Linked DNA regions of Ovis aries. The protein of the gene in region 1 purifies or fractionates together with the protein of each later gene. This does not show direct contact. Links are inferred from orthologs where the notes say so. Each region holds a gene or a part of one and is shown on either strand. Other genes may lie near its edges.

Region 1 (3,585 bases):
CCTGTACAAATAATGTTATTGTCATATTAGTCAGGAGAAACATTAACAACTTAATTTTTTAATGTGTGGTTGACTATATATATTTTTTTAAATTTTATTTTATATTGGACGATAGTTGATGGGGTCACACAGAGTCGGACACGACTGAAGTGACTTAGCAGTCAGCAGCATAGTTGATTTACAATGTTGTTTTCCAGTGTACAACAAAGTGATTCAGCTGTACATATACAAATATCTCTTCTTTTTCAAAACCTTTTCCCATTTAGGTTGTTATAGAATGTTGAGCAGAGTTCCCTGTGCCATTCAGTAGGTCCTTGTTTGTTATCCTTTTTAAATACAGGAGTGTGTACATGTCGATCCCAAACTCCCAATTCAGTCCTCCTCTCCTACTAACTATTTTTGAAATTAAAATTCAGAACAAGACAGGGAAAGAGACACAGATGTGTATAGCGGACTTTTGGACTCAGAGGGAGAGGGAGAGGGTGGGATGATTTGGGAGAATGACATTCTAACATGTATACTATCATGTGAATAGAATCGCCAGTCTATGTCTGACGCAGGATGCAGCATGCTTGGGGCTGGTGCATGGGGATGACCCAGAGAGATGTTATGGGGAGGGATGTGGGAGGGGGGTTCATGTTTGGGAACGCATGTAAGAATTAAAGATTTTAAAATTTAAAAATAAAAACTAAAAAAAAAAAATAAAATTCAGAACAATATTAGCAGAAAAAAATGTTAATTGCTCTGAGAAGTCATATATATTTGTTTCAAGATATGCTAAAAAATCAGCCAAATAAATCATTTTCATAATGAAAACACATGCATATGATATTTTAATTTAAAAAATAACCATCTAGTGAAAGGAAACTTTAGAAGGTTACATAAGCTAAGATGGTCTAAACTATAAAACATAAAAGTTGGGGAAAAAAATCCATTACCAGTTATTAAGGTTTTAAAGATGACTTGCTCTCATATAAGTTATACCCTCCCTATGTTTGCCTCAGGAAGTAAATATTAAGTACATAAGAGAAGCTCGAATTTGAATGTCTTATGTAAAGAAAAACAATGCACGTGGTGTCTCATGTTAACATTTAATGATAAAATATAAATACTATTAAATGTACTTCTAAAATGACAAAACAATGAATTACCACAGACAACACTAGCCAAGCCAAGAGAGTGTTGATATGTCATGAAAGATGAAGTGGAAACTCCAGGCTGCTAATTTATCACTCAATATACAATGCTTCCTTTCTATCAGATTTCCCTGCTTGTCAATCAAGTTGATGATATAAATACTTAGTGTTCTAAATAATTTATGATTGTAATACCTTTACTGACATTCCATACTAAAGACAAATTTCCCAAAGGAAAACACAGTCATATATGAAATAAACCCTTAAAAATGAGGATCGAAATCCAATCCATTATTTCTATTTACCATCTGACTCTGAAGTGGCTCGGATGATCAAATAACTGCTAGGTAAGGGCTGAGTTATTGATCCAACTGCTTCACCTTTTGGACCCTTAAAAAGCAAAATAACAATTAAATGGTGTATAGTATTATGAGATTTCAACTTTATATTATGCATTATATCTGTAATAAACTAAGTAAGGCATAGATTATAATTTTTAAAAGCAAGCAAGCGTTAATTTCATGCTTCTTGAGAGCAAATGCCAAGCAGTCAGGAAAGCTTTCCTCTTCCACCAAACTTAACTTCCTTACCAGAAAACTGAATTTATAGTTAACACTTAATATTATCTCTGCAGATGGTTTACATATTTTTAAAAAGCCTAAAATTTAACATACTAGACCAAATTTTAATTTAATGGAGAATTTCCACACTACAAAAACTACTAGCTAAGAAATACTAAATTTCTGGAAGCCTAAAGAAACAGCTGGAAATATAAGAAAGAGAGAAATGAACTTTTACTAGGTCTGGGGAAAAATAATTTTTTAAGTTGTCAAAGAATAAAACGGATTTTAAGAAGCATACACCTCAGGAAGTAAGGAGGAACATTCAAAATGAAAAAAGTAGAAACAAATCAATATGATTTCAACAAATCCTACAGTATCCCCTGGGTGTTTTCAAATGGCTTTATAATTTACAGTTCAGTTCCTAGAACACTATAGGGTAAGCCCATGAGTCAAATTGCCTGGGTTTCAATCTTGTATGACTCCATACTAGAAAAACTACTTAAGTAACTTCTTTAGGCCTCAATCTCTTTATCTGGGTAATAGGAGAAATTTGTATCCTCCTTACAGGTAGGAGAATTTAAAAAAAGATTCCATATAGTATGCTGAAAAGAGTCCCTGACACAAAGCAGAAATTTACAAACATTATTCTGTTCCTATTCATAGGAGTGACCACAGTCATGCTTTTTAGTTATAAAAGCATTAGAGCTCCATCTTCCAAGAAAGCTGCCTCTCAAGAGTAAATAAGACCCCTTCTGCTTACAGGCTTCCAGTCACAAGTTTACATCCCTGCAGGAAAGACCACCAAAAGAAAAGGCAGCTTCTGTTCTAGGGAGTCTGACAAATTGATCAAGAGAAAAACAGTCACAGCAAACCAGATACACTATTACAAAGCAAAGCTAGTAATTGCAAACTAAAAGAATAGTAGAAACAATCCCCACAGACAAGAGAGAATAGGGTACAACATAAATTTGAGAAACATTTTCTGGAGAAATTTTTAAGTTTGATCTTAATTAAAATAAAATAAAATAAAATAAAAATGAAGTTAAAAAAAAAAGTTTGATCTTAGAGGTAAAATAAACTAAGCACTACGGTGCACATTTCACTGTGGGCAGAGACAGGAGGAGGAACAACGGGGCTGCGGACAGAAAGAAAGCTCTGGCAGAGGACAGCAACCGCTCGCCAGCCACTCACTGACGTGGCTCAGCTCTACTCACAGACTGTCACCCTTACTTTTCGCCTGTGTAACAAGTGCTTACTTACCTTCACTGCCCAAATAGACTGCTCCAGAGGATGGAAAAGTTTAAAACAGAAGCCATCCTTTTTTGATGGACGTTCAATGATCTCACAGGCATTCAGAAGGACTGTTCCTACCCACTGACCGTTTTTCTGGGTTTTATAGATCAGCAACACACCGGGTTTCAACACACACCACAATTTAGTCCAGCTCTTTAGGGTACCACGAATCTACAAAAAGATAAGTTTATTTTAAGAAATAAAGGTCTGTTTTTTTGCTTCACAAGGTACTAAATGAATAGAGGCAAATAGGGTGTTTTACTCTAAAATTTTCAAACAATGTACATTTTAAATTCACTAGATGTATATTCGTTAAGCTACTAATTAGCCAGCACTACAAATAAATGTGAAAACAGCACGGCTGCTACTTCCAAGGAACTTAAATTCTAGTGGGAGACTGCATCACATCAACATTTTCAAAAGAATCCTGTTTCCTGGCCAGGTCAGGGGCCATTAAAACATACTTTCCTAGTACCGAGATCTGGAGCTTAAAGATTAGTAAGTAGAGCCAATGTAAGTCCACAGGTGTTTTCAGAATAGTAGGCAAGAAGACCTCAGTACTACTTGAACTGTCAAGGAAATACCACTAGACT
Region 2 (4,372 bases), on another chromosome or scaffold:
CATAGCCTTAGGACCACATGGGGCTTCCCTCGTAGCTCAGATGGTAAAGAATCTGTCTGTGATGCAGAAGACCTGGGTTCAATCCCTGGGTCAAGAAGATCCCCTGGAGAAGGGAATGGCAACCCACTCCAATATTCTTGCCTGGAGAATTTCATGGAGAGTCCATGGAATCACAAAGAGTTAGACACAACTGAGTGACTAACGCTCAGGACCACATTATGGCAGTAGCTTGAGGAAGTTTTGGCAGAAATGTCAGGAACATGCCCTCATTTCTAAAAACAGAGGCCTGTGTCAGCCACAGTGAGCAGTTGGTACCCCCAGAATATTCTTATTTTCAGCAGTTCCTTATGGAGTCCATGAACCCCCACCCAATTTCTCAGGTTCTAGTTATGTCTTGTCGGTCTTCACTGCCCATTTGTGGGTCAGGACAGCAGAAGCTGCATTTGTGAACATGGATGACCCGTGGGGATCACATGTCCCAAGCTGCCCTGATTCCCCACCACGGTATACCGGCAGGGTGGGATAAAAGTGCACCGCACCAAGTGAGAGGCCAGGGGTTCTGGTTCCAGGCTGGCAAAGTTCATCCTGGGCAGGACATTTAACCCTGCTGTGCAGAACTGTTACCATCTCTGCCGTTCTTCAGCTGAGTGAGAACCCAACTCAGGCCTGATGCATAGCTCAAATGACACAATAGATGTGAAGATGCTTTGGGAAGGTATCTCTCTCCTGTGGAGGAGGGGGGACTAGTGAGAAGTGAAACCACCATTCCCACCTATAGTGCTGCTAAAGATGCTGCATGCAGGACAACAAGCCAATTACCGAGGCACAACCAACCTGAGGCCTCAGCATGTTTTGCTACTTCCTCCTCGAAATGTGGGTTTAAAATCTGGCTCAGATACAAAGGGTTTCCCGGTTTATTCATAATATTGGTTATAACTTTTTGAATCCCATATTGTGGGCCAGCCACTTTATTTCTAATCTTCACAATTATACTTCACATTAGAGCTCCTCCTCTGCCTTCTCAGACGAGGAGGCTCAGAGAAATTAAAAGATTTGTCTAGTCTGCCAAGAGCTAGAATAACGGGCTCTTTCTTCTGGAACCAGTGCTCCTAACCCTGATTCAGCGCTGCCTTCCTCTCTGGGTAAGAGAAGCTTCTGAGGCAGATGGAAGGAAGGGAGAAGTGCAAGAAGAGGTTCCTGGATATCGGAATACACCTTATCGTGTAAGGCTCACCTCTACGCATAAAGTTTTTTCTTTCAAGTCACAGAACGGGTGACACAGTCTACCGGCCATCTTGGTTGTGGCAATCCCAATCCTTTTTTTTTCTTTTGGTGACGGACAACCAAAGAAATTAGGCAAGGCGGTCCTCCCCAGGGATCTGAAGGTGCGCCAGAGACGCCCAGCGTCGCCCTCTCGCCGGCCGAGGTCCGGGGCGCCGGCCCTCAGAGCCCGGCGGCGTGCGCGCTCGGCGCCCAGCGGCGGGTCCGCGCGGCGGGAGGGGTTCGAGGGACCCAGCCGGCCCCGCCCCGCCCCGCCCCCTCATTTAAATACGCGGCGCCGGCGGGCACGTCGAGCTCGCCGCGGACTCAAGATGGCGGCGTGTGGACGTGTACTGAGGATGTTCCGCTTGGCGGCGGCGCTGCCGCTGCTGCTGCTCGCGGCGGACGGCGCGCAGAAAATCCAGGGCCCGGGCGGCCACGGGCAGGGCCCGGGCCCGGGGAGCAACCTTCTTCCCCTCGGAGCGCAGCCGGGAGGCGGCGTGCTGCCGGGTCAGCTCCTGCTGCCTCAGTCATCTCAGTTGCAGCAGCAGCCGCAGCAGCAGCAGCCTCAGCAGCAGCAGCCTCAGCAGCAGCAGCCGCCGTTCCCCGCGGGCGGGTCTCCGGTCCGGCGGGGCGGAGCAGGGCCCGGCGGGGCTGGCGGGGGCTGGAAGCTGGCGGAGGAAGAATCCTGCCGGGAGGACGTGAGCCGTGTGTGTCCCAAGCACACCTGGAGCAACAACCTGGCTGTGCTGGAGTGCCTGCAGGACGTGCGAGAGGTGAGGCGCCGGGCGCCGGGCGCGCAGGCCTGGCCGCCGCGGACGCCGGGCGGCCTGGGCAGCCGCTGACGCCGCGGCCGCGCCTCTCGCTTCCTCTGCGCGGCCGCCCGCTCCCCGGCGCGCTCCGGGGAGGGGACCCCACCCCCAGCCCTCCCTCGCTCCCGGCGGGGGTCTGGGACGCCCACCCCGGCTCCTGGCCGCCGTCGGCCGAGGCCCAAGCGGGTCTGTGTTTGCTCCGGTCTTTTGTGTGATGCTCTAAGCGCGGTGGCTCCTCGGTGAAGACCTGTGTAGGATTTTGCTCCCCTTTTCGATTTGGGTAATTTGTAGCAGCTCTTTAAAACGTGAAAGATGGTTGGCGTACTTCAGCTGGTAAAGAATGCCCTGCTGTTTATTGGCAGTAGGTAATGTTTAGACAGCTCGGGTTCTGTTCTGATGTGTATTGTAGTCTGCAGCCAGATTTACTGTCTTTACCCTATTCTTCTGTAATTCAAAAATTCCTGTTATTTATCAGCTGCTGAAACTAATATATGCTTTTTTTTTTTTTCCTTCACGTCTTTTGGTCAATTTGTAATAAATCCCAAGTGGTCCCGAAGCTTGAGAAGTTGAGGCAGCGTTTGAAGCTGGGCTGTGAGGTCTTTGCTTTCTGATCTTTTTGCCTGTCTGACTGTACCTCTTAATGCCGTCTTGTTTTGATGTTCTTTGATGCCATTCAGTTTAGTAACACAGAACTCTCTAGATTTAATGCTGCAGACGTTAAGTGCAGTTTTGACAGTTATCAAAGTTTGGGAGCAAATCTGGTAGGGACACTTTTTCCAACGTTTAAACAAAGGCCCCAAAGTTGGCATAGAATGAAACCATTGCTTGATACAGTTTTATTTGGAAAATTGTTATCAGAATTGCCTAAGATGTTCATGGTCACAGGAAGACCATTGGTTTGTAGAAACAGGCTAGTCTTGGCAGTTTTTTCCCCCCTTATCCCACCTGATATTTGCTCTGGTAGTCCATACAGAGTAATTCACAAGAGGAAAAGATATACATGCTCAGGGGACAGAGAGAAAGGAAATTTCTAGAGCCACCAGAAATGTGGAGCCTTCGATGACTTATCTACAATTTGGAAATTAGAAAAAGAATCCCTTGTTCTTGATCCTTCACCTACGTCTCTAGTCAGTACGGCTAAGATTCTCAACTGTGTCACGCTTCTTGAAATTTTCTGTTTGCCTTTGAGGATATAAAATACATGCTGTTCTCTCAAACTAGGATCGTAATGTTGAAGACCAAACATTTGGTGAGTAGTTTGTGGCAGAAACAGGATGTTATTAGGGAAAGTGGCCCTTTCTAGGAGTACCTCTTTCTTGACATGTATTAAGGACACGTGGATTCTGTCACTCACAGGAGCAGTGTTCCTTTGTCATGCTTGTAGAAGTGTGCAGCAGCATATATGATCCATAAATACCAGATCTGAGCACTTTTGGAGTCGGGTTAGTTAGCTAGATACTGTATTTCTTGCATTATTTACTGTACAAAACCTGGCCTGAAAGTGCAGGTCCTGTAGTTCCACCTTTGAGTGTAAGACTCTCAGCAGGGATATTGTTTCGGTAACTACATTTTCCTTCCTTTCTGGGGATGTTATTTAAACTCTTTGAAGGTAGTTACTAGGTCTTGTACTTCCTTTGTAGCTTTCCAGAGTACCTAATTCAGTGCCTAGACTCAGTAAATAGTGTTGACTGATTGAAGGTGAAGTAAACTAATGGAGTCTGTTTTATGAAAGAAAAGATGTCATGTAAATTGAAAGAGGGGACTTTTGGAGGGCAGGGGTTTATTCCAAATTTCCAGTTGTTTGGTTTTTTTTTTCCTCCTATTTTATATACATAAAAATTGAAAGAATAGTACCATGAACAACTATATATATTCTTTAAGAGGTGGAGCTAGTTTTAAACTACTTTTTTTTTTTCCTTTAAAGACAGCAAAAAGAAATTTTACTCCACTTAGAGAATTAGTTAAATCTATGCATTTGAAAGCATATAAGAAGAAAGTGAACTAGCTAGGCACATTTGAAATGGAAGTATGGAACGTGTTTCTTATGTGCTTTTTGGTACAAAGGACTGTTTGATAGGAACGCAGACATTTGTGCTTCTTTATTCCTTTGGATACTTATTTGGGGGAAGGTTGTTCTCTGTGTTCTTGCTGTTAGTATTTCGAAAATGCAAAGCATATGACTATTTAAATGGTAGTGTGGTAAACCACATTTTTATTTTGAAGTAGCATGGATATATGGTGTTAGGTTAAGTCTTAAGTTCAAATATTTTAAGGTTCCCTTTAGTGTTCAAAGTTACGTA

The links. The genes of interacting proteins can lie anywhere in the genome.
Region 2: the proteins of OSBPL8 (region 1) and GLG1 purify together in Homo sapiens (co-immunoprecipitation; 3 studies listed by BioGRID and IntAct, with this or other methods). This does not show direct contact. The link is inferred for Ovis aries from reciprocal best matches to the Homo sapiens genes OSBPL8 and GLG1.

The regions. Positions count from the first base shown.
Region 1 is NC_056056.1:112,358,291-112,361,875, forward strand, and holds part of OSBPL8 (oxysterol-binding protein-related protein 8), read right to left. Parts: intron 3,164-3,585; coding exon 2,960-3,163; intron 1,527-2,959; coding exon 1,442-1,526; intron 1-1,441. UniProt on the Homo sapiens protein: Lipid transporter involved in lipid countertransport between the endoplasmic reticulum and the plasma membrane: specifically exchanges phosphatidylserine with phosphatidylinositol 4-phosphate (PI4P), delivering phosphatidylserine to the plasma membrane in exchange for PI4P, which is degraded by the SAC1/SACM1L phosphatase in the endoplasmic reticulum.
Region 2 is NC_056067.1:1,543,005-1,547,376, reverse strand, and holds the start of GLG1 (Golgi apparatus protein 1), read left to right. Parts: upstream 1-1,572; 5' UTR 1,573-1,592; coding exon 1,593-2,036; exon of another isoform or gene 2,037-2,133; intron 2,134-4,372. UniProt on the Homo sapiens protein: Binds fibroblast growth factor and E-selectin (cell-adhesion lectin on endothelial cells mediating the binding of neutrophils).